Linked DNA regions of Diceros bicornis minor. The protein of the gene in region 1 interacts with the protein of each later gene in a pairwise test. Links are inferred from orthologs where the notes say so. Each region holds a gene or a part of one and is shown in the gene's direction. Other genes may lie near its edges.

Region 1 (15,881 bases):
GAGCCTGGTGACACTTGAAGTTCCAGGCCAAAGTGCAGGGCCTGCCTGATTATTTGTGGATGGCTTATCTGTGAGCAAGGTACTCCTGATTGTAGACCTCTTCTTATTTAATTCCTTGTCAACTCATTAGACAGAACAGTTTACAGCTTACAGAAACCAACGCCTGTAATTTTCCCATCTGGCTGGGCATCAGAAACACCTGAAAACTTGTCAAAGATGTGCATTCTTGGGCCCCACCACTGAAATATGGATTCTTTTGGTCTAGGGTGGGGCCTGGGAAACTATTTATTAAAAAAAAATTTTCTGGGTAATTCTGAGGCTCAGCCTGATTTGGGAACCCCTGCAATAAGTTGGTCATTTTACAGATGAGGAGAAAAGCCCCAAACCAGGCAAAATCACTTCCCCAACATCACATGAGGTGTTGGTGGCAACATTCCTTCTATCTCTTTGTTGCAGATTTTCTCTGTACTTTGGTCCCAGGTAACTCAGATATTTTCAAAATATCTGAAAAACAAGGATTTGATTATTGTCTGCTTCTAGGGAAGATTTCTGGAATGAGACTAGCTGTTCCTAGGATGTCTCAGGTGACAACCTTGAGGGACAACAGAGGAGAGCAGAGGCCTTCCCAGACTCTTGGAGTCCAGATGGCTTCCTTGTTTGATTGTGAGAGCTGAGAATTCCCCAGGCTCGTGACTCCTGAAGCCAAATGCTGGATTATCTGTTGCACTGGATTATTTGTGCCTGGCCCATCGGCTACTTGGAGAATTGTGTGTTGCCTGTGTAGACTGAAGTTCTCCATCTATCCTGTGTGCATTCTTTCTTGCCTGTGGTGAGGGAGCAGAGGGGGATGATGTATAGAGAGCTGGGCAGGGCATGATGATGGGAGATGGATGGGAACTCACTACAGAGCTTGGCTGGGAGACTCACACCCCATTGGAGCTGGGATTGATTAGCTGGAACTTTCTTGCCCTTCTCAGTTTTTCTCAGAGCCAGCAGCCTGCACTGTGTCCGCTGGACGCCCCTGTGGAGAGGGAAATGCTGTCAAGGTCTCAGGGAAGCTCTGGTATCTCAGTGGTGGTCTACCATGTGCCTTCTTCCCAGAGGCAGGCGACCCTCTACATTAAAAACCAAGTGACCCTCAGATAGCCTTCTGTTTCCTGAACCCCTTCTCTTCACTGTACTTAGTCTCTTTCCTGTTTCTTTCTCCTTTCCTACCCTTAGCTCACATTAAATGACTTTCTCTCTATGTAGAATATTCTCTATCTGTGTGGAATATGACCTACCTCAGCAGATTTTGCAAGGGTATTGAAAGAGTGAGTGAGAAATCTAAGGTGGTGTCAAGGTTACTGAGGATGGTCAATGAACTTAATGCTAATTGCTTTAATATGGATCAGGCACAAGTGTCTGTGTTATCATCTATTTTTTTCCCAGGAGAACATTTTTAGAAAAGTGTCTAGTGTTGGTGGCAACATTCTTCTATCTCTTTGTTGCAAATTTTCTCTGCACTTTGGTCCCAGGCAACCCAACTGGAAAATATCTGAAAAACAAGGATTTGATTATTGTTTACTTCTAGGGAAGATTTCTGGGATGAGATCAGCTTTTCAAACTGATTTGTTCTCCTTTCCCTAACTTACTGGGTGGGTCATATGAGATAGCTCCTAAACAGAACATCTGCTAAGTGCTCAGGCAGTGTGGGGTGGGTGCGGGGGGCCTGTGATTGGAGTTAGGAGGGTTTGAGTTCCAACTCTGCTATTTTCAGGCTGTGCCTCTTGGCCAAGTCATTTCACCTTTTGGAGCATATGCTTGTCTCTGAGGGTTGTTGCATGACTCAGAAGTGACCAGAGTGGTGAAAGCCCTTTGTAAACCAGAAAGTTCCTTACAACTGTCAGTTGTTGCTACAAGTTTCCGTGGGAGGAGGTAAAATAAATAAGAGCCCACTTTTCAGGGTTTGCAGTCCAAAAGAGAAGACGGAATTTCATGTGCTTAACCAAAGGAGCATATCTGCAAGCACTAAGAACTTTCTATGCCAAGGGCTCCCCCCTGAGGAGGGTTGGTTCCAGGCAGCTGGTATATTTTAGGAAGACTTCCTGGAAAAGAAGAGCACACCCTTAGTTCCCTTAGCCTTGGGCAAAGCTGCGCTCCTGTAACCACTTCTTGAAAAAGCCCCAAATGCGGCCCCATGACAGGCGGGAAGTCACAGGCTGTACTTGCTGTGGAATCCAGATCCACAGGGTACAATGTGAGGCTCCACCAAAAAGCGAGCCTGCCCACTGCCTGAATTGCTGCTTCCTGGCTATAGGGGACACAGTTTTCCCACTTCCAGGAAATGAAGCCAAGATGGGGCCTAAGGGTCCTCCTGGGAGAACTGCAGGGCAGAGTTTGCAGTGTCATCCTAACATGTCCAATCCCTGCTTCTCCCTTAGTGGAACTGTCTTTTTCTTTCCCGCCCCTCCATCCTTCCCTCTGGAGGGAAGGACAACTTAGCTATAGAAAGACAAACCTCCCTCCCTCCCAGGGTTGATGAGAGGAAGAAATGAGACAAGGCGTCTCAAGCACAGGTATATAGAAGGTTCATGGAATGGTTTTATTATCATTACTGATCCCTTTTGCTCCCTGTGCCTTAGTTTTCCCACGTACTCTGAGATTAGACTGATAGCCAAGGACCCTTCCCCTTTGGAGCTACCCCCTCCTTGACCTGTTGTTTGCTAATGATCTTCTGCAGCCTCAGTCTTGTGAGCTATGAAGTGCCACACCTGGGCCTGGTGGAAGTTCCTCAGAAGACTGAGGCCTTTGTCATCACCCACAAAGCAAGAGCAAGGTCAGCACCTGGCCCGGAAACAGTGCCTGACATCTAGTGAGCCCTCAGTAAATACTGACAGAATGAAGGAATGAATGAACAAATGAATGAAACAGAGGTGCTGTTTCCACCCCACCATGCTGTCTCTCTAAGATGTTAAAACTATACTAATTTACTACTGTTATTACTAGAAGACATCATCCCACCCCTCTGGGAGATCCCCCATTTTTATCCCACCCCACAAGTCATATGTGGAACAGAAAGAGGTTGTCTTAGTCGGTTCAGGCTGCTATAACAGAATACCATAGACTGGGTGGCTTATAAACAACAGAAATTTATTTCTCACAGTTCTGGAGGCTGAGAAGTCCAAGACCAAGACACCCACAGATTTGGTATCTGATGAGGACCTGCTTCCTGGTTCATAGAGGGCCATCTCTTCACTATGTCCTCACATGTTAGAAAGGGAAGGGAGCTCTCTGGTCTCTTTTATGAGGGCATTAACCCCATTCCTGAGGGCTCCACCCTCATGACATCATCACCTCCCAAAGGCCCCACCCCCAAATACCATCACACTAGGGATTAGGTTTCAACATGTGATTTGGGGGGAACACATTTAGTCTATAGCAAAAGTTCTCCAACCTTAGTCTTCTATATAAACATCACCTGGGGAGCTTGCTAAATAGATTCCTGAGCCCACCCTAGAGACACTGAAACAAAATCTCTGTGAGAGAGGCCCAGAAATCCACTTGTGTGTTTTCTTTTTTAAACTTTTTGTTGACATTTTCAAACATATGCAAAAGTAGAGCCAATAGTATAACGAACCCCAAGTCCTTATCACTGAACATAAAAAATTTTCGACATATGACAATCTGGTTTCATTTATACCCCAACCCACTTTCCCTCCAAATCCTGGACATCATATTGTTTCATCCACACATACTTCTGTTTATATTTCTAAACGACAAGTACTTTAAAAAAAAAATTCCTAAAATAAATAACAATTCCTTAATATTATCAAATGTACAGTCATATTCAAATTTCCCCAGTTATCTCATAACTTTTTTTAACAGTTGATTTATTCAAATCAGGATCTAAACAAGATCCACACCTTGCAACTGGATATGTCTTTTAAATGTTTTTTAAAAAAACTTCTATTTTTTAATAATTTTAGACTCACATAGAAGTTGCAAAAATAATACAGTTTCTGTGTACCCTTCCCTCAGCTTCCCCCAATGATATCTTACATAATCATAGTATAATTATTGAAACCAGGAAATTGACATTAGTACAATACTATTAAAACTACAGACTTTATTTGGATTTCACTAGTTTTTTTATGTACTCATTTTTAAATTTTTTCCTTTTGTATATAGTTCTATGAAATTTTATCACATGTGTAGGTTTGTGGAACCACAATCAGGATACAAAATTGTCACCCAAAGAAAGTCCCTTGTTCTCTGTCTTTATAGTCACTGTCCTCCCCAACTCTAACTCCTGGCAACTGCTGATTTGTTCTTCACTATAATATTGTCATTTTGAGAACTTACATAAATGAAATCATATAGTATATAACCTTTTAAGATTGAATTTTTTCACTCAGCATAATGCCCTTGAAGTCCATCCAAGTTGTTACAAGTATCAATAGTTGCTTTGTTTATTGCTGAGCAGTATTCCATATTAAGTCACTTTTAACTTACTGATGTCCCCTCATCTCTTTTGTTTTCTTGCCGTTTATTTGTTGAGAATCTGCCCTATAGCATTTTCCTCATTCCGGATTTTGCTGATTTCATCCCCCCCGACAATGTCATTTCACTTGTTCCTCTATTTCCAGTCCTTCCTATAACTGAGAGTTAGATTGCCAGGCTTGGTCAGAATTAGATAGTCCACTGGTGACTCTGAGGCAGGTGTTACTGAAGACACTTGGAGAAAGGATGCTGTGGAAGAAGGAAGAAAGCGCCATGGGAACTGGGGCAGTCTGAGGAGGCTTCCTGTAGCAGAAGGGCTTTGAACTTGGGTGGTGCTCCAGGCAGGCAGCCCCGGAGGTGAACGTGGCAGAAGAAGGGGTAGAGTTGGACAGAACTTCTGTGCAGGCTTTGTGGTGGGTTCCATGGAAGACTGAGCCTGAGACACTGGTGAACCACACTCCCCAACTATCCCCTCCACTCCTGGGACACCCCTGACCTGGGAACTAACCTAAGTGGTTGGAGAGTATGTACCTGGAGGAGGGGGCATGGCCTACCAGGACATGTTGGAGGTCAGGTCATGCGGAGACTGTGAAATTATCCTAAGGCCCTTATGCACACCAGGCTTCCACCGCAGTCTCTTGAGGTCTCGTTCCCAGGATGGAAGACCTGAGACCTGGATAGGTGAGGGCAAAGCCTCCAAATCAAGGGGTGGATGGGGAGCTGGGGGGGAGGAGGACCTTGGAGCACAGAGACTGGAGTCTGAGGTTCTCAGGGTCAGGAGGGTCCTCCTGCTCTTCAAAGAGACTGAAACCCTCTGAAGCCCGTGTCACAGGGGGCTGTGCCACTTGAGTGTGCACACTTCCCTCCCGAGAAATGAGTACAGCCATCCAGGCTGCGTGGTTAGACAGCTCTGGTGTGCTGATTGTCTCCTCCTGTGTTGTCCTAGGTCTCTGCCCCTGTCCTCCAGGACCACAGGAACAGTGCAATCCCTCTTTTACGCAAAAGCCTCTGGGTGCTTGAAGGCAGCACCCCCAAAAGATTGGCCACAGCCTTCTGCTGCTTACAAGGGCTCTCACATTCGATCCTCACAGCTCTTCCGTGGGGCACATATTATTGTTGTTGTTATTGTTTCTGTTTTACAGAAGGGGAAATAGGCTCAGAGAGAATAAAGGCCTTGCCCAAGGTCACACAGAAATTTAATGTATATCCTTTTCAACCTTGTCTTCCCCGTCACATTCCCTTGAACATTGTCTTCTTCAAGGTAAAGGAAGTCGAACCTCAATTCCTCTTACTGCCATAAGGGTGTCCTTCGCTTCTTCCTCCATGTGCCAGCATGGAAGACCCAGGATGGGAGATCCTGTCTTCTGGGCAGGGCGGGGCAGAAGCTGAATAGAAACTTTTTCTTGGGAGAGAGAGTGAAGAGAGGCAGGCCCCATCAGGCTACAGGACCTGCCAGTGCCTGGTGGAGTGAGCTGGGGATATTGTAGCTCATTCTGAGAGGAGTGGGGCTGGAGGACTTTTCCTGGCAAAGGAAGGGCTGGGGAGCCCCCAGGGAGAGGCCACCCTGTATCAGTGGAGTCACTGTACAGGCCCACAGGGGCAGGAGCAGGAAGCTGGTCCCAATAAGGCACTTGGAATGGTATGGCTAGAAGATGCTTTTGTGATGCAGATGGGCCAGTTGAGGCCCAGAGGGGGGCAGAGGCTTTCCCAGAGACACACAGCAGGGCAGGAGCACGGGTCTGGAGACCACTCTGGTGCCACTTAGAGCTCCCATCGAGGAGCCTGGGCTGTGCAGTGGGAGAGGGTATGTCCTCAACTAGCTTCTCGCTGGCTCCTACCAACCTTCAGAGACAGGGCCTTATTTGAGCCACTTATACTCAGGACACAGTGGCAGGGAACAGCATGCCATCAGAGAGGGCAGGAGTAACCAAGATGACACGGCTAATACATGATAAAGCCAGAACCTTGTTCTCCATGGTCTGGGTCTTCTCAGCCCCAGCAGAGCCTCCTGAAAGAACACGGTCTCTCGAGCCCAGACTGAGAGCTGCAGGAAGGGGTACAGGTGCTTGAGAGATCTGGACTATCTTTGGCTTCTCCCAGCCTTCCACCTGGCTTCCTTTCCACCTGTCTGTCCACTTTTACTGACACCCAGGGGCTCTGTGGATGAGCTGGGAACTTCTGAAGTTCCTTCAAAATGGATCATCTATATTTCCCACAATGTAAGATTCTGTGCTTTTCACTCTTCACCAGGCAAACTCCTGCCCATCCTATAAAACCCAGCTCGGAGCTACAGCAAATGACCACAGACAAGGCCACAGAGGGAGTCACATCACATTCCAAAGAATCTTACAGACCATGATCTCCAACCACAATGCAACATAATTAGAAGTCAACAAGAAAAACATAAACCTCCCATAGGCTGAGAAACTAAAAAACACACTTCTAAATCATCCATGGGTTAAAGAGGAAATGACAATAAAATTATGAAATATTTAGAACTGAATGATAAGGAAAGCACAAGCAGTTTCTATTTCCTTTGTGAAGTCAAGTCCCTGAGCCCATGTGCTACGTGCCTTCCATTGTCCCCAGATGCACCCTTCACCCTCCTCCTCCCAGCTCTAGGCCCCAGGAGGCCGACCTCTATGCGCTGCATCAACAGGTTCCCTTGACTTTGGCTACAAGGGTAGGATCTGGCCAGTGGGGAAACCAGGCCAGAGATCAGAGCAAGGGAGAGAAGTGAGGCCCCTTTTTCCCCCAGTCCTTCACAGTATGATTGCTGTGGGCTGGGTATGCCCCTCGAGCTTAGGCCACAGCTCCCATCAGTAGCCCCCTCCTCATAGCTCCCACTTTTACCACTCCCTCCCAGCACCCCTTCAGGCTAGGGTAGACAGCAAAGGGCTGCTCTTGCTAGCCCTTTGTGTGGTCTACATATACCCTGACTACACCTCTAAATGATGCCTTCTTGAAACTCTCCTCAAAGTGCCCAATTTGGGTGTTCCACATGTTTCCTGTAGATAACCTCACTCTTAGAAAGTGCTCACCATCAGTGTTCTCACTTCTAGAAGACTGAGCTCTGACTTTGTGTTATCTCTGTGTGTCGTCCCCCATTGAGGACCTGTGGTCAGCTGAGGTCAGGGGCTGAGGCAGCTTCATCACCTGATCCCCTGCTCTCAGTGCAGAGTCATGCTCAGTAACGGGTGTTGATTAGGATATCAAACAAATGAAAGACTAAGTTTGAATTCCTTCTGCATACACTAGAGCACGCAAATGTTTGTTTATAGGGGATTTGGGGCAGAGTTAAGACTCAGACAGCAAAAAAAAGAAAACTTTATACGGGGACAAAAGTAGATGCTCAACAAAAGAATAAATCCTCGGTTCTGTGAGCTGGGATTCTTAAGGATCCAGCGTATTCTCATGCCATCTAGCAAGCAGAAGATCCAGACACAAGGGGAGCCCAGTGAGGCATCTGCACCACAATAAATGCCCACCTCCAGCCTCCAGCTCTCCCCTACCTCCCCCTGCTCACCTCCCACACCCCTCCAGGGTGACTTCAGCAGCCCATCTGTCTGTCTTGGCCCTTCTACCCTAGAAAATCTCCAACCTTCCCTCCCATCCCAGGACAGAACCAGCCAACTGGTCCCTGGGCCTGGGGCCCACAGTGTGCATTGAGCTGGTGTAGGATATCTGTCTGCCCTCAGGGGAGGAACCTAGGTAGACAAGTAAGGAGAGGGGATCAGGTCTTGAAGGGTTTGGATTTGGTTGGAAGGAAGGAGAAAAAGAAGATATTCCAAAGTGAGAACAGCAGGAACTGAAGGTCTGGTGGTGGGAAATGGGGTGATTCTGGGTGAGGAGTGAGGAGAATCAGCCCAGTCTGAGCAGTGACGCCAGCCCTGGTGGGGGAGGTGAAAGTCTGTGATTTGAGCACTCTTCACTGCCAAGTGCTGGGGTGAGGGACTCACTCATGATTCCCAAGGCATTCATTCATTCAGTAAATGGGTACTAAGTGCCTGCTATGTGCCAGGCACTCTGCCAGGAGCTGAAGGCATGGAAGTGTATAGGGCAGACCTGATCTCTTATTGAACTCAGGGACAAGTGAGACACACTTGATTCTAGGAGGGAAAGGAAACCACCATTATCTAGCAAATCTTTTGTTTCTGCTCCAGACAGAAGCTGAGCTTGTCCCCATTTTACAGTCGAGAAAGCTGAGGCTGCCTCCTTGGTAAAAGTCTGAGACACTGAGAGTGCCACCTGGGGAAGCTGGGAGTGCGATATGGACTTTACGGAAAAGCGACAGAGAGTGTGTCTGTGCATTGGGGGTGGGGGGGGCCTTTCCCCGCCCCTTCCCCGCCCCTGGACCGCGGCGTGGCGGGGCCGGGGAGGACCGGGGCGGAGCCGGCGTCGCCTCGGGGGCGGGAGGGCGAGAGCGACCCGGCAGGGCAGGCCGGCGGACAGGCGAGAGAACCGGCAGGGCGGGAGGACTGGCAGAAGAAGGCGACCCACGGCGCTGGGGATGTGACCCCGCGGCCAGACGAGGACCCCGTGAGTGAGCGCCCGCGCCCCAGCGCCCCCGCCGCGCACGCGGCCCAGCCTTACTTCCCCTTTCATTTCTTCGACTGCCCCCGGCGTGGCACTGTCCGGAGGCGACCTCCGCCCGAAGGCAGGCTGGCCGCAGTCCTCGGTCCGGGGTCCGAGGCTCAAAGCTACGAAAGTCGGGGTTGAGGGGGTGGCGGTGTTTGAAAGGGGCGTGTCTTTCGGAGCGGAAATGTCAGGCCTGCTCCTATGGGTCCTACGACCGGTCTGTCCTGGCAGCTGGGCGAGGGAGAGGGGTGGGGGTCAGGGGGTCCCGGGGGAGGCCGAGCGCCAGGGAAGAGCATGGAGTCTCTGCCTCTACTTTTCTCTTGGATCTCTGCCCTGCAGGGCGCCCGCCACATGGCACTGCCCTAGGCTGGATTCTGGGTTCAAACTGGGGCCATCCCCTGGCCAAGATCCTGGGCCAGGCCTGGGGAGTGCAGGTGTGGCCCTGGCAGGGGGCTAACTGTTAGAAACAGTCAGGGCCACTTTGTGGTCTTCATTTGGGAAGCCCAGATCCCCCCTCAGGGTGTGAGCCATCACTGGCCACTTTAGGAGTAAAAGGACACCCAGAGTTAGGAAACTGGCTAGGAGGGGGAATTGCCAGGGTTCAGGGAGGGGACAGAGGCTCTGTGAGGGATAGAAACTCAGTAAGGGCATGGGAGTGGGAAGTGAAGAAACAAGTGGCGTGGATGGAAGGGCACCTATCAATCCCCCCACACCCAAGCTTACATTTTCCTGGAGAAGGGCCCAGACCTTGAAATTCTGCAGCAGGAAGGTGGGACTCTGGCTCACTGGTCAGGACACCCAAGCTGCTTGTGGGGGAAGAGGAGGGGTGCTTAGTGTGTTGGAGCAGCAGGAATTAGGTTGGTCTAGTCGGTGGGAAGATGTGTCCCCTCTTCCTGCACTCCCATCCTTTTCCCTTATCTCCACCAGACCAGCGACAAGTCAGTGCAGGAAAATGGCCCTTTGCTCATTGTCATGGGCTGAGCCCTACCTTTTCCCAGTTCCCTCTTCTGCCGTTGAAGATCCCCTGCCTGTAACTTGCTATGTGAACACAGTCTCCTCAAGTCCCCTTTCTGGGCCTCAGTTTCCCTATCTGTACAAGAAGTGGGTTGGACCAGTTATCTCTCAGGCCTATTTCAACCCCGAGATTCTTTATTCTAAGCTTTCCTTGAAGCCTGAGCATCAACTGTGTCGCAGGCTCTGACCTAGGCTGGGGGACAGCAATGGCCAAGGAGCAGCGTCCACCCAAGGAGAAGGAGCTCTGGGTTCAGAAGAGGGGCCTGTGGGAGGAGGTAGCCTTCCACCTGACCATGTGTAGTCAGACAAAGGGACCAATGTAAGAAAACACACAGAGGCAGGAGGGTGGGGGGCATGTTCAGGGATCGGGAGGAAGCCCAGGGTGGTGGGTGTAGGGAAGTGGGGCAGGAAAGGTAGGGTGCGGTATTGAATGCCAGGGTGAGAGTCTATTAGTAACTTTCAGTCAAGGGGGCTGTGTGAATGTGGAGAGCCAGGAACCTCACCTGAATTTAGTGTGAGCGATTTTGGAAGCACCTGCCCAAGCAGAATTTAGAACACAGGCGGCAAGTAAAGCGTGGAAATCTCCTCTTGGGTCAGGAAGCTCAGGTCCCACTCTGGGGACTTCTTTGGGTGAGAAGTCAAGGGGCAGAGGATGGATAAGATGACCTGCCACATCTTTGAGGTTTTTTTCAAAAAGACAAGATTCTGCTGGGAGACCTGCCCCTACTCTCCAAACTCCTCTCATTTTACTTAACTCTCCCCTCCTGGCCTGCCTGATGTGGGTACAAGGAAGAACCTTCATTCCAAACTTCTCCTCTACTACCTTGACTTGTTACCTGCTGTGACACCTCCCCCCCACCCATATGTGCTGTGACTTTGGCTATACACAGTCGTCACCCTGTTCCCATCATTCCTTCCCCAGTCCTGTCGCAGCATTACTAGAGATATGAGAAGGGAAAAGGCTCCAGTGTCAGCTCTGAGGCCAAGGCCAGGCTTTTGGCTGTATTCAAGCCTCAGTCCAGGGCTAGAGTCCAGGACTCACATTGACCAGGGTCAGGGCAAGGTCAGAGTTCAGCCTGGAGCCAGAGCTCGGTTCTCAGTCTGGGGTTAGGGCCAGTGCTCAGTTTGTGCCTAAGTTCCAGTCTCAGCAGGTACCTAGGTCTGCATTTCCCAAGAGCTCACACGCTCACAGGGGAGATGAGATGTGAGATGACTGCCCCAGGAGTCCCAGAAACCTCGCCTGTACCAGAGTGACCCAGGAAGTATCAGAGTGACCCAGGAAGTTGCATGAGCCAATTCCATGCCTGCTACAGAGGTCACCCAGCCATGGTAGAGCTGGGACTAGAACCCAGGACTCCTGCCTCCAAGCCTCGGGCTCTCATTGTTGTCCCCAAAGTCTGTTCTGAGTCTGAGATCCTTCAATTCTAAAAGGCAAAGCAAATTTGTCTGAATTCTAGATGGGCCCAGCTGGGTGGATCTGACTGCATTTTCCTACCTCCCGGTGCTAGGCACATAGTAGGTGCTCTAGAACGTCTCCTGAATGGCAGGGGCTGTGGCAGGGGCCAGTGGCTTGTTTGGGTTTGGGTTTGGGTTTCAGGCTGGAGGAGGCTAGCTTTGGGGGCAGGATCTCCAGCCACTGTTGGAGGAAGTGGCTCCCTTCTAGACCTGCCACCCTTCCCCTCTCCTCCAGTGCCTGTGGCCACACTCAGAGGCCACACAGCTGGCCATATGAGAGCTCTTTCCTCTTTCAGGGTAATGAAAGGAAAGGACATTTTTGGTAGAAAAGTCTCTCCTGCTCCCTGGGAATCCCCGGTGGCCGGATGGACTACGGGATATCCCAGAGGAAGCCAAAGGCGGGGCCCTCCCCCATCCCCTCCCCCTAGCACAATGTGGCCAAGCTCTCCCACGCTGCACCAGCTGGCCTGTGAGGCCCCCAGAGGTTGTCACGTCCAGGCCCCTGCCTCCTGAGGGGCCTGCAGGAAGCCTCTGCCACCTCTCTAATGGTCAACCGCAAGTCTGAGGAGCACCTGTTTAGAGCCCAGGCCCAGCCCTCTGTAAGATGCAATGAAAGTGGAGAGGAAACAAAACAAGATGGGAGGGCTGTGGGCGCTTGGCAGCAGGGGCTAGGGTAGCCTGGAAATAGGGCAGGGGTGCTGGACCAAGGGGATGAGGAAGATTTAGATTGCAGACAGAGGCTGCAGAGGTTGGCCAAAAGCTCAGAAGTGAGAGGGAAATGATGTGTTGGGAAGTCAAAGCCCTTTTGGTAAGGATCTGACCACCATGCTCCCCTGTGCCCTTGGCCTCAGCGGGGCATCCACAGGTCCTGCCCCTGGACCCCTGGCCCCCGACCCAGCCTGGCCATGGCGCTGTGCCTGAAGCAGGTGTTCGCCAAAGACAAGACATTCCGGCCGCGGAAGCGCTTCGAGCCTGGCACACAGCGCTTTGAGCTGTATAAGAAGGCACAGGCATCACTTAAGTCAGGCCTGGACCTGCGCAGCGTGGTGAGGCTGCCCCCTGGCGAGAACATCGATGACTGGATTGCCGTGCACGTGGTGGACTTCTTCAACCGCATCAACCTCATCTACGGCACCATGGCGGAGCGCTGCAGCGAGACCAGCTGCCCGGTCATGGCCGGAGGGCCCCGCTACGAGTACCGCTGGCAGGACGAGCGCCAGTACCGGCGGCCTGCCAAGCTCTCGGCGCCACGCTATATGGCCTTGCTCATGGACTGGATCGAGGGCCTCATCAATGACGAGGATGTCTTTCCCACACGCATTGGTGAGTGCCACCTGATGGGCAGGTCAGGCCTGGCCAGGGAGGGACAGAGCCACTGGAACCCATTTCACAGATGAGGCATGGAGTTTGATACAGCAATTCGGGGTGGGGGGGTGATTTTCATCCCTATCTTTTTCTTTGGTGAGGAAGATTGTCCCTGAGCTAACATCTGTGCCAGTCTTCCTCTGTTTTGTATGTGGGATGCCGCCACAGCATGGCTTAAATGAGTGGTGTGTAGGTTGGTGCCGGGAATCCAAACCTGCGAACCCCGGGTTGGCCCCTCATCCCTATTTTATAGAGGAGAAAACTGAGGCTCAAAGAGGTTAAGTGTCTGCTCAAGGTCAGGCATCTTGAGCTGGGACTGACTGACTCCCAGTTTGGGGCTCTTCTTGTCTGAAACTTGAATGTCCCTCTAGGGACCACCTGGCAGGGCCACTGTGATTCTCAGAACCTTCCAAAACAGGTGGCTCAGAGTGCTCCTAGCAGGTTGCCAAGCTTGGGCTGATCTGACTTGCAGCCTCCTGGAAGTTCCCTCTGACTCCTGGCCCCAGGAAAGGGAAGGGGCTGGGGACTGGGTGGGCCAGGTGGTATCTCCTCAGAGGGCTCTGAGGGCAGAATTTTCCCTTGTTAGGCCCAAGCCATGGGGCCTTCTCTTATCTCAGCTGGGCAGCCTGGGCAGGTGCGGGTGGGAAGGAGAAATGAGTGATGTCACCCTGGCCAGGCTTCACCACCCAAGGGCAACAAGAGGGGGTGTTGGCCCAGGAGCTGAGCAGGCATGACACTGTGTTCATCACAGCAGCCCCACCCCCACCTGGCCTCATGTTCATCCTTGTGAAGGCTATGGGAATCAGAGATGGGTGGGGCAGGGTGGTCAAGCCCAGAGGGCAGAAGTCTGAATGTAGAGGGAAGCTGGGCACTGAGTCACAATTCAGTGCCCACGGCCCCTCCCCAGCTGGGGTCCTGCCATTTCCTGCACTATCATGCCCAACAATGGGAATCTTCATTTCACATGGGAGGAAACCGAGGCCAAGAGAGGGACAGCACACTGAATCAGGAGGGATTCAGAACTGCAGCTCAGGTCTCTTAGGGTCCAGGCCCAAGTCTAGGGCAGGACAAGTCTGAGGGACCTGGGCTGGGCCTGGAAGGGCTCACAGGGAGGCAGGGCTCAACTCCACCCAACCCCACCTAAGGAGAAGAGCACCATGGAGTGGGGTGGGCCAGTGTGGGGCTGTGTCTGGGCTCTTATTCCCTTCTAGCCTTGACCCCCCGGGCTGGTGAGACCCCAGCTGCCTGTGCCTTAACCTTGGGATGGCTCTGCCACAGCAGAGAAGAGGGCATAGCCACCAAGATCTCCACCTTGAGTGTCGGGGGCTGTGTAGAAATTGTGCCTTTTTCACAGGTCCTGGAGCTTCTCTCAGGCAAGGTGTGTGGCATTTATCTCTGAGGGGTGCTGCAGTGCAGTGCAAGGAGGGTTTGAATCCTGCCTCCAGTCCATACTGATGAATACTTATGAGGCCTTGGGCAAGTGGCTCCACCTTTGTGTACCTCCATCTTATCATATGTAGAATGGCTACCATACCAGGCAAAAGGTACAGAGGGCCCAGCAGAGGGACTGGCTCGTAGATGGAAGGTTCTTTCTAAGTGTGATTGGATAGATGAATGAATGAGAGATGTCTGAACTAGTTCTTGCAGATTCAGTAATTCTCAGGATTGGGATCTGAGGCCTGCTGTGTGAATGTTGTGAAGAGGAAGGAGCCAGGTGGGGTTGGCGAGGGAGGTCGGGATCAGATCATGAAAGGCCTTGTGCAGGCGCCACGCTGGGAAGTCAGGACTTAATCCTGAGGCTCGTGGTCTTAAAAGTGGACCCCAGATGTTGATGAACTCCCCTTGGAATTGTATCCAAGGGCATCATTTGAGAACATCTGCAGATGCACATGTTTCTGGGGAGAATTTGGACATAACTTTCATCATAGTCTAAGAAGGGTTGGTCAGTCAGTGACCCCAACAAGGTTGCAGAGTCCTGCTCGGGGTGAGGGGAAAATGTGGAAGAAGATTTGTATTTCAGCAGGGGAGAGGCACAGTCAAATTTGTGCTTCATTGAAAAGGGAAGGATGGGAGAAAGTGGTCATGATCTCTCTCTGTCTCTCACAGGGAAGTGTGCTAGGGAGGAGGGCATCCTGGGCCAAGGCTGCCTGTGTCGGGGAGGGCAGGGCTGGGCAGAGTTTCATCATCAGGGTGCTGATCCCCCCACTTCTCTCCATCCCCGCTCCTAGGAGTTCCCTTCCCCAAGAACTTCCAGCAGGTCTGCACCAAGATCCTGACCCGCCTCTTCCGTGTCTTTGTCCACGTCTACATCCACCACTTCGACAGCATCCTCAGCATGGGGGCTGAGGCGCATGTCAACACCTGCTACAAGCACTTCTACTACTTCATCCGCGAGTTCAGCCTGGTGGACCAGCGGGAGCTGGAGCCACTGGTGAGGCCAGGCCCCCACTGCCTTCCCCAAGCAGGGCTAGCCTTTGTGTCTTCAGATCCAAAGGCTACCTGCTTTAAGAAAATCCAGTACCCAGGTGGATAAATTAGGGGAAGGCAACTCTTTTAACCATGGATTCTGCACTTTAATAGAGAATTCATTCAAGTGTCAGCTTACAAACCCAGATCTGCAGCCTGGAGTTGGGAGCGGGGCAGGGAGGCGCCAGGCTGAAGCAGGAGAGCAAGCAGGCCCTATGGTTTGGGAAGGGGCTGTCTGGTAGGGTGAGCTCTGACTGACCACTTCTCACCTTGTGTCTCTGCAGAGGGAGATGACAGAGCGGATCTGTCACTGAGCCCAGGCCTGGACGTTGTTGCCCGTCAGATGGATTATCTCTGTACAGAGTGGCTAGGGGAGAGGACCCTCGGGAGTCTGGTGGCAGAGGAACCTGCAGGCCCTGGGACCCGTCCACACACCCAAAGCCCCTGGACTTCTGGTTCTCAAAAGTCTGCCCACATGTCTCCCCGACTGCTTATGAATGGGGAAGGGGAGAGCTTAGAGG
Region 2 (15,962 bases), on another chromosome or scaffold:
GTAGGGGCCGGCCCGGTGGCGTAGCAGCTAAGTTCTCGAGCTCCGCTTCGGTGGTCCAGGGGTCACCGGTTCGGATCCCAGGCGCGCATGTACACACGGCTCATCAGGCTGTGCTGAGGCGGCGCCCCACATAGAGCAACTAGAAGGATGTACAACTACGACATACAACTACCTACTGGGGCTTTGGGGAGAAAAAAAAGGAAAAAAGGAGGAAGACTGGCAACAGCTGTTAACTCAGGGCCAATCTTCCTCAAAAAATAAAAAAACAACCCCTAGTGATCTATCGTTGTAAATTATTTTTAATGATCAACCAACACTTCACTTAGGTCCTTCTTTAGTTTTGTTGAAAGCAAAAGCTGGAAACCTTTAGAGTTGCAACAGCATGGCTACTAAGTGATTAGGGACATTTACTTTCTCTGTCCCTGGTGCCCCTTTTCCATCCTGGGGCAATGTAACACGGTCAGACTAGAGATGGGTGAAAGGTTTGCCGTTTTTGGTGAACTGGGAGAAGGGTGATTATGAAAGGGTAAGCGGGAAAGGAAAACCAGCTTGAGAGGCGCATTCTCCAGAAGTTCAGTTTTTTGGAAAAGGAGTGCATATGGAAGTTGAAAGCCTGACAACTAATTCTGTTACAAGCCAGCTATGTGCTCACATATCCCTTGGAAATTCTTTGTATACCTCCAGGGCTAAGCATACCCCAGTTGGAAGAGCCCTGGACTAGACTTGCAAGTATGCGAGTTTTCCTTGAAGCAGTTACATTGCAATCCCAGGACGTACCCTCAATCTGGAACACATGGGAGAGCCACGCGAATCACATCTTTGGGATGGTGCGTTTCTTTTGTAAAGACTGACCTCATGATATACACTGATTCATCAGCTTTAGTTTCAAAGTATGGCATTTTCTGACCTTGACATTACCTACAAACCCTGGGGGGAAGGAGTTACCTTATTTGGCATTTAAGCCCCCTATGAAGTTACTGCATCAGGTTGTGTAGAAAGCCTTGTTTTAGGGTATTTCTTCATAGCACTGTACATGTAAGGCCTTGGCATCTTTCTCCCTTCCATACTTTCTCACCTGATCCTTCTGAAGCTAACTGGTTTGCACTGGTAAATTTATGAAAGAGGTGGATTAGTGTGAAATCTGTCATGCCTGAACAGAGCCTAGCTAATCGAGCTATCAGGGATACAAATCTGTGAACCAAACAGTATCTGTAACTAAATATTTGGGATGGATCTCCTACAAAAATCAGTAATGTATATGTGGTTTTAATAATTCAGTCTTCAATAAAAATAAATATTTAAACCCCTACCTCTACTCCATTGTTCTCATTCCTCGCAGCCTATATAAAAATTCATATTGTAAAAAGAATCTATTTTTGTACAACTCATATAAACAAAGGAGGCATTTTACTTTTTACTTCATCTCTCTGAGAATACAGTGAGCTAACTCCTATTTGTGATTTATTAGACGACAGAGAAACTGCAATCACAAAATGGTTAGTTATCATTAAATCTGGAATTTTTTAAAATTTTTAATTAGAAGCATAACTTCACAGATAAAGCAATGTTTTTGTATTTCTGTGTATTTTTAATGACCTAATAGTTTTAACTGGAATTATTTTTATTCACTAGCCTTAATTTAAAAGAATTTCAAAACAATCTTCCTACAACCATATACGTTATGGTATGCCTTACGTTGTATAACATGCAAATATCATCACCACTTAAAACCCACCATAACATCTCTGTTCTACTAGTAAACAGAATGCAGTAAAACTTTGATCTATGTTTTAGTCTTTTGTTGAAAGTTCAAGGTTGTGTGCACCTAGTGCTTGCAAACTTGCACATTCATTGATATTGATTCATTCAACAAATCCTTACTGATTGTCTAAATGCTGGAAATACAATATTGAGCAAAACCAGAAATGGTCCCTGCCCTTATGGAGCTATCAGTTTATTGGGGGAGTATGCAATAACCAAATAATTACACGTTTAAAAACTGCATTTGTGACAAATGCTGTGACGGAGAGTTAAAAAATGCTAGGAGAGTCTGCAACAGGATATTTGAATCTTGGGGGTGTGGGTGGTCAGAGAAAGCTGCCTTGAGGAAGTGATCTAAGGAAGAATGTGGGTTAATTAGGAGAAGAGACGGAAGAGAGTTACAGACAGGGAACAGCTTGTGCAAAGGCCAGACAGGGATCAAAGCAAACATGAAGGACAGGAGGAAGCTAGCTTCTGGAGGAGAGTGTTGCAGGAAGTGGGGAGCCGGGCATGAGACGAGGCTGGAGCGGTGGAAGGCAGCCAGACCTTGCTGGGCTCTGCAGGCATTTAAAAAGTGTTTTGAGATGTAGACCAACAGAAAATAACTGAAAGCTTTGTAGGGTTTTAAGTGTGGGTGGGGTGATTGGATCAGATTTGCATTTTGAAAAGATTACTGGCTTCACAGTAGGAATGGAATGGAATGGAGGGCCAGAATGTATGCTTTATTGAGATACCTGTAGATGCCTCCCTGGACATATGCATATCAACCTAAGCTTTTGAAAAATACATAATGTTTTAAAGGGATTGGAATTTTCTGAGAAAAGAAACACTGGTTTTTATCTTTTAAATCTTTTGTTTATTTTTGGGGGGCAGGGCAAGAGTGGTTCACAATAAGTGGAGAAAAGGAAGAATGAATAGTACTCCTTCCCAGAAGTCCTGGGGGAAAACATGTCATTGATTATCAAAATAAACTTTCTCCCCCCAAAATAAAAATAGCTTTATTGTTTTTTTGGATTATATACTCAATATAAATTGTATTCTCAATATAAGACAGTACAGAAGGTGTATTAAGAAAGTTTTCTAGAAACTGAAATTCTACTACTGAGATAATTATTGTCCCCATTCTGGTGAACATCCTTTTAAACTACTTTCCACGCTTATATTTACATACGAACTTACGTATGGGTCTAAGGACTATGGCTGTTTTGTTCAGCAACATAATTATGCCCAGTGGCCTTGGACTTACATAATACCACATCAACCTTTTTAATAGCTATCAATAATTCATTACAGACATGTGCCATAACGTATGTAAATAACCCCACACTGATGGAAGCCCAAGTTTTTTAGGCTTTTAAAGTGCTACAATAAACACCCCTGCACAGACATCTTAACAACTGTCAAGGAGAAATTCCTAGAACTGAAATTGCTGGGTAAAAAGATATATACACATTTTATATTTCGATACACATAGCCAAACAGCCTACCAGAAAAGTTATTCCTATCTACATTCCCAACTATATTCATTTTCCTATACCTCTGATGGGTTAAAAAATTACTTACCCACTGGTGTTTTTATGCATACTTCTCTGATTATTGGCCAAGTCTGCACTTCTTTTCATATGTTTACTGTTATTTCTTATGTGATTTTCTGATACATGTACTTTGCATATTTTCTTCTTCTACTAGATATGTGTTTGTCTTATAGATTGAGTCTTCTGTGATGAAATTATTAATGATATTAATGATCAATGATATTAAGCTTTTGTCTGTCATATATATTCCAGATTTCTTTTTCTTAGTTTACTTTTAAAAACCCTTGTTTATTATGTTTTTGAAAAACAAAGGTTTTATAATTTATATAGTCAATTCTGTTAATCTTCTCCTTTAAGGTTTCTGGCTTTTGTGTTCTGCTTAAAACTAGGTCTTTCACTCCCCAATATTATAAAAATACCTCCCTAATAGTACTTTCTTTTGGCACTTTTTACACTTTTGAGAGTGTTTCTGAAGGGTAGTCATGTGATACTAATAAGACTTTATTAAAATGTCCATTCCCTTTGCCAGAAATTCCCCTTTTAGAATTTATCTTAAAGAAATAAGTTTAGTTTAGTTTAGTTTCAGGGATATTCACTAAACAATTGTTTATAACGGCAAAAAAAACCACTATAAACAATGAAAAGTTCAACAATGGAAGACTGGTTAAATCAACTATCGGATATCCATAGCCATTAAAATGGTACTTAAAAACATTTAATCATATTAAAACATACTAATACTAAAAGTACAAATATGCTAAGATCTAATTCATAAACACTAAAAAACAATTTTAGCTAGGCACAGAAAAAGACAACTGTATTTACACCATGGTGATTAGTTCTGGGTATTGAAAATAATGGGTGATCTTTTTTCTTTTTTTTTTCTCCAAGAGCACATTTGAACAATAAAAAAAAAGTTTAAAATTTAGTGTAGCCTATAATTATGCAGATATAACATTGTTAAGTGTCTCATGTGTGTTTTAGTAGCTAAGGGTGCCTTAGGCTGGAGGGTATTACTGTTGTCTGCAACCTTATAAACTTTGAACAAATTGGTTAACCTTTCTGTACTTGGCTTTCCATTTGTTAAATGAGGATAATACTCCTTACCCTGATTTAACTCACAAGGAGGCTGTGTAAACTGTCTGTAATTCACTGTAAGCTACAAAGAAAATGGCGCTAATAATATAATTTTATAACTATATGATTATCATGGCTTTTTTTTTGCTTAAACTCTTTTATTGAGGTATGATTGACACAAAAAGCTGTATATATTTAATGTATATAACTTGATGACTTTGGAAATAAGTATAAACCCGTGAAACCATCACCACAATCTGTGCCATAAACATATTCATCACCTTCAAAAGCTTCCTACTGCCCACTTTATTATTTTTTTATAAGGACACTTAAGATCTACCCTCTTAGCAAAATTTTAAGTATACAATACAGTATTGTTAACTATAGGCACCACACTGTACAGTAGATCTCTAAGACTATTCATCTTGTCTAACTGAAACTTCGTACCCTTGACTATTACTTCTCCTTTCCCTCTCCCCCCAACCCCTGGCAACCACGATTCTACTTTCTGCTTCTACGAATTTGACTAGATTCCTCATATAAGGGGTACCATAGAGTATTTTCCCTTTTGTGTCTGGCTTATGTTACTTCTCATAACGTCTTCTACGTTCATCCATGGTGTTGCAAATGGCAGGATTTCCTTCTTTTTTAGGGCTGAATAACATTCCATGGTATGTATATATGATTATTGTTGCTTTTAATATAAATGCAATGGAAATATTAGCTCAATATCTTTAAAAAGAATATTTTTTTACTTAGCTACAGAAAAAAACAAGAACAGAAGAAAATGTTGCCTACCAAAAGAGACGGCAAGGGAAGTTAAATTATTCAACAATTTGAATAATTTACTAATTGCCTACTATGTGCCAGGGTGGGGTTGGGGTAGGAGAGTATAAGAGTGAATAATACAGAGTCTCTATTCTCAGGTACTTCATTCTGGTGGATGACACGTCAGTTCTACAGACAGAATCACAGGCCACTGTCCCCAGAACCTAAAGAGGCAAAGCTCTCACAGAGGCAAAGGGCCTCTCAAGGCAGTAAAGGACACTTAGGTTCAACCATTGAAAATCAGCTGAACCAGGTATAGGAGCTCAGCCTCATCACCAAGTCATAGCGGGAGATGATCAAGGTAACCTGCAATGGTTTTACATAGCCTAAAGTGAAATTAGGGGACAGACTGGTTGGGGATGCCCCATTCTTGAGGGGTTCCCCTGGTAAGTATAAAGGGGAATCCCCTTAAATATGGTAGAACCCCAACAGTAAATATAGGGGCTAGAGAGGAGAACAGATCCATGCTTGCTGGTAGGAGACTGGAAGGGGTGGGGGAATTCTTAAAAACTCCATTTACAGAATAGGAGATCCCCTTCTGTTACTCAAAGTTCCCTTGTACAGGGTATTCTGAGACATTTGTGAATACTATCCTCTTGAACTTTGTTTCTGATTCAATCTCCCTTCAGGGTCTAGAGGAAGACAACTGAATATACCTTTATACACATAAAATGATAAAAATATAAATACATACACACACACATACGTATACCCCACACTCACACTGTTTGGCTGTTAGGAGTTCAGTGGTCCTAGAGTCTACGTCATTCATTTGTACCACTTGACTCTGTCACTCATTCCTAATTAGTCCACGTTTAAACATAATTCCAGAGAGAAGACAATGTGCATCTAACAAAATACTTATATTTTGTATTTATTGTACTTATATTTTGTATATATTGTACTTATATTAAGATAGATGTCTGAGAAAAATACACTCCTGACACAATTAACACCATTATGGATTCAAACAGTTTTGGTGATTCTGACGTTCCCAGAAAGCAAAAATAATAATACTGGCATAAACTTATACAGTGCCTATTATGTACTTACTAGGCATATGAGACAAAAAGAAGCAAAGATATGAATTTAACAGTTTTGGAATGAAAACAGCATTTAAAGTTGAAATAAAAATTCTTAAGTCCATTTTCACTTCCCATCACTTTAAGCCTAGATAAGCAATTAACTTCAGTTAACTCTTACCTTCTTTTACGGGGGAAGCAGTGGTGGTTAAAATATAATAAATAATGTATTTATTTGCAAAGTGCCTGGAATTTTAAAAATGCATTAAGGATAAAGCACAGTATTATTATAACATTCTTCCATATATCACATAGAAGCACATATTATATACAGCCAAGCAGGCAGAATCCTCTCACTTCTCCAAGGTAAAAACTAGGACAATGTCAGAGATTCTGCAGTCCTAAACTTGCCAACAACTAAAACAAAGCAGGACAAAATTTTTAAAAAACCCACCAACTGTACCAATCTGAGGACCTATATCCGAATTTCAAGCTGTTGCTCACTGGTGGCCAGGTGAAAATATGATTATTACTGGAAAAATAACTCACAGCCAAAATCTTTTTGTGGCAGGTTAGTAGCATCATTTTTTACATTAAAATTACATTTCATCTATAAGGTAGAACTAATGTTTCTTGTTTGATATACAACACTGCTTATTTACACAGATATCAAAATTACAGTTAATTAAGTGAAAGTTGCTTTGAATGAATCTATACAATCAATAGTATATGCGAGTCTGGATGTGCATGTATGTATTTAGTCCATTTAAAAATAATTAAGACAAATGGTATTTTATAATATGTCTGGGGAAATCTGTTTTTTAAAGTTAATCTTGAAAAACCTACCATATTCAATATTATATATTCAAAGCTTTAAATATTGTTATTTTAAAAATAGAAATTCCTGAAGAGAACAGAATCATAAAACTAGAGGGCCTAAAAATTGTAATACATCCTTTTTACAAAACATAATATATAACTTTCCATAACATAGGTTAAAGCCTCTAACACTAGATAATCTCTAACTGTAAAGAGTTCATGTGTATTTCTCATTTTTCTATGCATATCCTTGTATTCATGAAAAAATGTATCCTGCCATATAAATATCCTTTTTTTCCACTCAATAATTATCTTGAACATATTTTATATTAGCTTGTGATGAGATGTTCAACATATTTCTTAAGAGTAACAAGACCCTTCATAGTTTGAGAACATCTTTCTTACCTGAACTAGGTTTAAATAATTTAAGATTCCATATTTTAAAACAGTAAAATGAGTCTGAACACTTTAGAATTTGCTAAATTTAGCGTCTTGAAATTTTATTGATTTATTTTTTAATTTTTTGTTTATTGCAGTAACATTGGTTTATTAACATTGTATCAATTTCAGGTGTACATCATTATACTTCTATTTCTGCATTAGCGTCTTGAAATGTTAAAAATAAGGAGCATAAGGGCTCTAAGTTGCAACACCTTTTTCTGAAAAACTCGACCAAGATGATGATGGTAGGAGTTTCATTTCCATCTTAATTTGTTCTTCTCATCATTCTAAATTCCATCTGCAACGTACACGGTTAACAAAAAACAAATCCTAAAAATTGATTCTTGCCTCTGAACACACCGTCTTCGGAGTCGCACACCACGTCCGTATCAGCAGACTCCGCCCCGCTCCTGGGGAAAACCCTAATATTTATAACGTTATGACATACTGTAATACTCACAAGGTGGTTGTAGAAGTATAAACACGACTGCGCTTATCTGATTGGCTGCTGGTGATGTAACACCCATGTCAATACTTCCCAGTGAACGCACGTGTTCGACCTTTTATTTAAATTTCCATTTCATCACAGCAATAAGACACTCGGGGCGGTGCGTTCTCTGCCAAACGATTACCGCCCGGGGCCCGAGGTGCGGCCCGGCGCACACAATGCCCCGGCCGAGGAGGTGTCCGTGGCCGCCAGCTCCTCGCGCCCCAGGCACCGCCTGGCCCCGTCTTTGTGAGGGGACGCCCTAAGTTCCCTGCCCCGGGCACCGCCACCCACGCCCAGCACCAGACGCGGCCGGAGCGCGCGCGCCGGCGGCACGGTCACCCCCGAGCCCCAGGTGAACTCGTGGCGCGGGCAGGGCGATGTGCGCCCCGGGCGCGGGGAGGTGCGCGCGGGCGGCGGGGAGGCGGCCGGCCCTGACACTCGCCAGCTGCTCGTCCTCCGCGAGCCCGGCCGCGCCGCGCACGCCCGCCCCTCCCCGGGACCCCCGGCCTGCCCGGCCTTTGTCCCCCGCCCCGCGGCCCACTTCCTTCCCCGCGGCCGCACCCCCGCCCCCGGGCCGGCGGCGCGGCCCGGCCCCTTTCCCGGTCCCCTGGCGCCCCCACCCCACCCCGGCCCAGCCCAGGCCCAGCCCCCCTCCCCCCGCCCGGCCCCCACCCTTTCCCCCTCCAGCGGTTACTGCTACCCCGGTGCATTGTGGGCGCACGGTCCGTTGTTCATTTGCCATTCGACCTCCGCCAGGGCCTGGTCGGACGGAAACGCTCCGCCGGCTTTATTGTCGGCTCGTTATGTGGCGGAGCGCGGCCGTGTAACGTGCCTCTCGGCCGCGGCGCCTCGGGAGCCGGCGGCGGCGTCGGGACTCGCCGGCGCGCCGGAGGAGGGATATCTGTCGGAGGGTCGGTGTGCGCGCGCGGCGTTCCAGCGGGGCAGCCCGGGGCCCCGCACTCCGCCGCTCAACTTCGGAGGCCCCGCGCGGCCCGGCTCGCCGCTCGCCTCCCCGCCGCCCGCCCCCCTCTCCGCGCGGGACGCTGCCCGGAGCGCCGCGGGGCGGGGGCGGAGGACGCGGAGGCGCCCGGAGGCGGCGGCCCGGCGGGCGGCGGCGGACGCGTGAGGCGGCCCCGGGGGCGAGCGCGGGCCGGGCGGCCGGGCGGGAGGGCGAGGCCGGGCCCCGCGAGAGCGGAGCGCCGGCGCGGGGGCGGGGGCGCCGCGGCGGGGAGCGCGCGGGACGCGGCCCGGGGCCGGGCGCGAGCGGGGCGCCGGGCGGCGGCGGCGGCGCGCGCCATGTCGTTCAGTGAGATGAACCGCAGGACGCTGGCGTTCCGAGGAGGCGGGTTGGTCACCGGCGGCGGCGGCGGCGGCGGCGGCTCCGCGAACAATAACGCCGGCGGGGAGGCCTCGGCTTGGCCTCCGCAGCCGCAGCCGAGACAGCCCCCGCCGCCCGCGCCTCCGCAGCCCAGTGCGCGGGGGGCCGACGAGGAAGCGGAATTGGAGGGCCTGGAGCCGCGGGACCTGGAGGCCGCCGCCGCCGCGCCGGCCGCCGACGACGCCAAGGAGCTGCTGCTGCCCGCCGACGCGGGGGCCCCCAGCTCGCTGGGCGGCGGCGGCGGCGCGGGGGGCCCCCTGCTCGCCGAGAGGAACCGTCGGACTCTGGCCTTCCGCGGCGGCGGGGGGCTCGGCAACAATGGCAGCAGCCGCGGGCGCCCCGAGCCCTCGGCGTGGCCCCTGAGGCATTTCAATGGGCGCGGGCCGGCGGCCGTGGAGCTGGAGCTGGACGCGCTGGAGGGGAAGGAGCCGGTGCCGGACGGCGCGTCCCTGAGCGACAGCAGCGAGGACGAGGAGGAGGGGGCGAGCCTGGGCGACGGCAGCGGGGCGGAAGGCGGCAGCTGCAGCAGCAGCAGGCGGTCGGGCGGCGATGGCGGGGACGACGCGGAGGGCAGCGCCGCGGGCGCGGGCGAGGGCGAGACTGTCCAGCACTTCCCGCTCGCGCGCCCCAAGTCCCTGATGCAGAAGCTCCAGTGCTCCTTCCAGATCTCCTGGCTCAAAGATTTTCCCTGGCTGCGGTATTCCAAGGAGACTGGCCTTATGTCGTGTGGCTGGTGCCAGAAGCCCCCCGAGGACGGGGCCAGCGGGGACCCTCCCCAGGTGGGGCACGACGAGCTTTCGCGAGGCACCCGCAACTACAAGAAAACCCTTCTGCTGAGGCACCACGTCTCCACCGAGCACAAACTGCACGAAGCCAACGCCCAGGTACGGTAGCTCCTGCTCCCACTTTTCAGACCTTTTAGGGCAAGATTTGTCCCCTTAAAACCACTTTCCTGGGTGAAGGCATCGTTCCCGTTGGGAGAGAGGTGCAGGGATCTTCCGCGTGGGGGTTTGGAGAGGCTGGGAACAAGTTTTCGAAAGTTATCAGCGTTGGGGGCGGGGAGGGGGGTGGAATGGCAATTTTCTAATCGCAGCGCTGAATTTGGCTTATTTTTTTATGACTCAGATTTCTTGGCCCATCAGATTAAATCAAAAGGAAAGTTTAATAAAGCGAGGTTGAAGGTTTTAACCCTAAAAGGTTGATTTTGCGGTCGAGAATTTTATTTGCTGTGATTTTAGAAAAGCTGCCTTATGTTCGTAGTCTTTTAGCGTGCTGGTGGAAGTAAAATCTGGCACATCTTTGAAGAATGAATTAAACAGTTTCCTTAAGGTTTGACGCTACCCTTTTCAGGAAAACATCCAACCGAGAAAATTCTATCATCAGGTCAGGATAATGTGAAATATGGGAGTAGTATGTAAATATAGAGGAAGCTATTTGGATAACACTCCTTTTTCTTGTGAATAATTTTACTAAATTCATCTCCGTTGAACTTCTTGTTGAACTTTCTTACCAAAGGTGTGCCTTTGGTAAATTATTGTAGTTTTTACTTGTTTCCTTCTACCCAGATTTCTGTGCTGAGATTTTCTATAATCCCTCTTTTCAAAAAGTTTCTTATAAATGCAGTTTACATTAAATTTAGCATATTAGAAATGTTTAATACGAGGTTGTTTGTATCAAGTAGTTGATTTAGACTGGTAGGGAATATATTTACCAAACTCCTTGAAATTGTAAGTTACAAAACAAGTAAGCCATATTTTAATTCTTAGTACTTGCTTTAATATTTCCAGTCTAAAGATAGTAGTCTTAGCATTTCAATAATCCCTTTTCAAGCCAAACAGATGTTGATCACTCCTCCTTTTAAGACTTGTAGACAATCTGTGGTGGTGGATGGAATTCATTCTTTTGTATTGGTAGCCGGTCATTGGTTTTAGAGAGGCAACTTTCAGATATTAGTCCCTCTGTATTTTTATTGGAGTGATCTTGCTGTTCGGAACTCTTATACTGGAGTTAATTAGGCACTATCCAGTAAGTCCGTAGCACAGATGTTTCTCAGAAGTTAAGGCTTTAAAGCATAGGGTTATTTTTCCCAGTGGACAGTGGCAATAGGTTTTGCACAAATTTTAGTTGCCTAAGCCCTAGAAGGAAGGTCACTTAAAAATATAAGGCCTAGAAAGCTTAAGTAAATTGTCCTAAGTCTTAGAGTCCTTAGTGACAACTGAGACTAGAGCCTATGAGGAATGTTGTAATGGAAAAAGAACGGGTTTTGGAGTAAATCTGGGTTCAGATCTCAGCTTTCTGCAATTACTAGCTTTGTGAGTTTGGGCAGTGGAGTGAAATAGAACTAACAGAAATAGAACTAACATTTCCTTGTCTTCCATATGCCAAACACACCTTTACCTTACTCTCCAAAGTAAGTTCCCATTTTACGGAAGAGGAGTCTGAGGCTCTAAAGGGTTAAGTAATGTATTCTTGAAGTTATTTAGTAAGATGATGGAGGTGGGGGACTTGTGAAAATGAAAGTGTACTTTTCTAAATAATGGTAGGTTGGTTATTTAGAAAATTTTAGAAACACAGAATGAATTTTCTTGTTGTACGGTGGACCAGTTTACTCCTCATATCAGCATCTTCTCTCCCTGTAGGCAAATCTGAATGGGAATGCAAATTATAATTAGCTGCTTAGTGAACCTGAAATCAGAGGAAGGGGAATTAGTTGGATAACCTTATAATAGACTTAGCATCCTTCTCCCCTAGGCATATATCTGGATCAGGAAATTCATTCCTAGGTAAAACCTTTTCTCAACTTGATCTCTGAATTATCCCTCCCTTCCCCTTTGTCTCTTTGAAACTCCCTTTTTATAGATACAATCTGCAGACCATCTTTCTCTTAGGACATTCCTTCATTAGACTGAAGACAGTATACTTTAGTAAGGCATGTTTGTCTAAGGCTATGTATTGGTTCCCTTGATTGGATTTTGGATGTTTCCACTCTGAACTGATCCTAATCATTTCTCTATTTTCATTCTAACTAACCTTAGTTTGGGGTGTTACTTTGCTGTTGACCCCTGGTACCACCTACATAATCTCTTTGTCTTGTTAGTATGAGTGACAGTTTCAACTGACTTATTTCTTCCTTTGGGCAGGGTTCAATTTTTTTTTTCCACTGCCCTGTAGCCTTTGATACCTGTAGGAGGCAGTATAACACAGTCTGTAAGAGCCTTCTTGGGCTTAAGGTTAGGAGGACCTGAGTCCTAATCCTCTACTTTCTTGGCAGGCAAATAAATGAGTTAACGTCTAGCTTCCTCATGTATGCAAAGTATATATGCCAGCACCTAATCACTTAGTAAACGATAATCATTATTGTGATCGTTACCCATTTTCATCGCAGATAACTGTCCTATAAGAAGATTGTGTGTGTGTGGCCTGGTACTTCATGTCTCAGTGTTACCAGTTCTGTCAGTTTGGGAGCCACTTTACCTCATGGAATCACTCTTGATTCTAGAGAGCAATCCAGTTCTCCTTTTTCGTACCTTCAGAGGCTTTAGCCATCCAGTTCTTTGAACATCCTGAGACTTTCTCATCATGCATGCAATTTTTCTCAGCTTCATGAAGAATATCTTGCATTAGTTTTCTCCTGCCTTAAAAGTATTGAAATGAGAGTCCTGAAGTTCTGCAGGCAAGAATTCAGTTTGAGGCCGGGGGCAGTTCATTCTATTTGCCTCACATACCCTTTTTTTTTTTTTAAATTTCAAGGAGGCTTGTTTGAGAGGAGTTGGGCCAGATCTTAGTATGTCACTAAGAGTTACCTTTCTTTCTTGGACTTTCTGTAAGAAAAGTCCTTTTTCATTAATTCCATGGAGGTAACCAAAAAATTGTAGCGGATACTTAAAAAGTTTGATATTTTTCTGTTAATCGGATGTTGGTTGTTAAGGAGTGCTCATGGGAGAGTCTAAATATGCTTTCGGAATCTGTTCTGAGCCTTCTATTTCGGAGAAATCCCTGTATTCTTTATAAGGATGTGAGTATAAGGATGTGCAGGACAACAAATAGTTTTTATTTTGAGTGACAACTGACTGTATCTTCATAGAGTCAAGTTCAGTGATTAGCTCATACAGGATTTGACCGTTTGGCTCAAAGGACTTTAAAATTGCTTTAATAATAGTGATTACCAGTGTATCTTGGTTTAGATCACTTTCTACCCAATTGTGAAATTTTTGTAGCCTAAATTACACATTCTGTCAACTCTTTGCAGTTTACTAAACCTAAAACAAGCACTTAAATGTGTTATTGTTATAGATTTAGTTATCTACTTCCCAGAAAGTAGACAGCTGAATTCAGATCAGTGATCTGATTGAAATTACAAATTGTAGTATGTTGAGGTCAGTGGCTAAAGCAAAGGTGGGACAGATGTACCAGCCCTCTTTGCATTTGGCAAAAATAAGGCTCAAAGGTTTGTTTTTAACAATTGAGGAAGAAAGTCTGAAAAACCTTCCACTAAGAAGGAGAAATAGATATTAAAGATGAGCCTATGGCCCATTAAAAACCATTTTGTCTAACTGTATAGGTTCTAACATTGATTGTGTTCGATTCAGTAAGAACGGGTTCATTCCCTTGTGTTTTTCAACTTTTTAGTAGTGTGTCTTGGACTATACCTTATAGTGTATCTAAGATTGGCTTCTTTGTGCCCTTTTAATTTACTTACTTAGCAGATGCAAGGCACTGGAGATAAACATATAAGTAAGAAATTTTCTCTGCCCTCAAGGAACTTGTAGTCTAGTGGCGAGAGACAGATGTGACAATAAAATGATAGATACCATGTTAGAGGTGTGTTCAGGTTATAGTGAGGACACTAAAGGAAAGAAGTCATCAGTTCTGCTTGTGAAGGTTAGGAGAAGCTTGTAGAATTGGCTCCTGAACTTAATTGTGTTAAATGAGAATAGGTGTTGAACAAGGAGGGGAGGGCACTCCAGGCACTGCATTTGGAAGCAGCACGAGCAAAATGGAAATTGATGTCTTGATTTGTCCGAGAAGTGGATAATTTGGTTGCTGAGCAGGATGAAAAATCAAGTTTGAATAGGTAGACAGACTCCAGGTTATGGAATATCTCTTAGACAGACTCCAGGTTATGGAATATCTCTTGTCACGCTAAAATTGGATGTATTTTATTTTGTTAACAAATGGGCAAACTATTTAGCAGTTTTAAAGAAAGGAAAATTATGATGAAACGTGTATATGTTGCTGTTTAGAAGCACCTGTGTAGTGTGTGTGGGTTTTGAGGAGAGAGCTGGTAATAAAGCATATCTTCGGTATCCAAAGTTGGCTGGATTTTATAATCGCCTGAAGATTTCCACCCGAGACCTATAGATTTAGAATTTCTGGGGATAGTACTCAAACTGCAAGAAAAGATGCCATCACTTTAGGAGATCGTAGAGGTTATCAGAGTATTGTGAAGGAGACCTTCTGTCTTTCTCTCCTGGCTGTTAGAGTTTGTTGGTACCACTAGCAGGCATCTATTGGGCATCACGTTTGCTGTGGCCTTGTTTGTCCTCATTCTAGAAATTGAATTTGATTTTTCTCTAAAATTTGGATTTGGAAGTAGAAATTGATGTTTTGTTCTTTCAATATACTGTTCCAGTGGGTTGCTGCAACAAAAGTAGTAAAGATTTTTATATTTTTAATGCTTTCAGTTTACACTTTGATATTTGTGTTGGAAATGTCTTTTTTCCTGCTAATCCCTTTATCAAAAGAGAACTATAATTCTAGGTAGGGAAGTAAATACTAATTACTTGTTGATTTTTAGTTAAATATATTTTCTTATCATTTATGGATTGACCACAGATGAGCTCATTGTTTACAACTGAAGTTCTCTCTCCCATTCTCCCCTCAGAAGTGTGGGGAGACTGGGTTGTGGTTTTGGATTCTCTACGAGTTGGTGGCGTTAGCTAGCTCCCTAAGCTAGAATGCTGAAGACTCTGTGATTCCCCCTCCCCATCTAGTTAATCCCTCAGATCCTGCTGATTCTTACCTTCCAAATATGTTTTCAGGGTCTGCCTCACCTCCTCTTCCTCCCATTAACATTGTCCCTCCTCCCTAGTTAGGGGCCTTGTTTCTGGCAAGTATGTTACACTGTTAACAGTAGCTTCCCCATGTCACAGTACCTCTAGTCTTAGTTCCCTGATATTAACCCTCCACTTTGCCACAGTCATTTTATATCTGCTAATCCAGTCAGATCACTGTGCTCCTAAAGCTCTGTAAGGCACCTATAACAGTGGTTCTTAAACTTGTGGGGAGTTCAGTCTCTTTTGATTATCTGATGAAAGCTGTAGACACTTACCTCCAAAAATATTCATAAGTGCATATTTGCATTTCTTGAGCTTTTTTTGGATCAGCTTGAAGTTCTTTCATAAATCTGAAATTGTGAGGCTGCTGTAGACCATCTTGGCTCTTTTTCTCATGCTGTCTTATGTGCTTAGAATGCTCATCCTCCCATCCCACTCTTGCATCCTTTAAGGCTTTGTTCAGATCTTTCTTCCAAAAAGCATTTCCCCCACCTCCAAAAAACTGGATTAGATACACCTGCTCTCTGCTGTCGTTCCACAGTTGTATACTCTTCA

The links.
Region 2: the proteins of MOB3C (region 1) and ZBTB10 interact in binary tests that used the Homo sapiens proteins (3 or more experiments, as listed by UniProt). The link is inferred for Diceros bicornis minor from reciprocal best matches to the Homo sapiens genes MOB3C and ZBTB10.

Annotation. Positions count from the first base shown.
Region 1 is NC_080752.1:9,460,926-9,476,806, reverse strand, and holds the start of MOB3C (MOB kinase activator 3C), read left to right. Parts: upstream 1-8,900; 5' UTR 8,901-9,021; intron 9,022-12,380; 5' UTR 12,381-12,434; coding exon 12,435-12,852; intron 12,853-15,122; coding exon 15,123-15,325; intron 15,326-15,644; coding exon 15,645-15,674; 3' UTR 15,675-15,881. UniProt on the Homo sapiens protein: May regulate the activity of kinases.
Region 2 is NC_080772.1:31,172,329-31,188,290, forward strand, and holds the start of ZBTB10 (zinc finger and BTB domain-containing protein 10), read left to right. Parts: upstream 1-9,193; 5' UTR 9,194-9,269; coding exon 9,270-10,235; intron 10,236-15,962. UniProt on the Homo sapiens protein: May be involved in transcriptional regulation.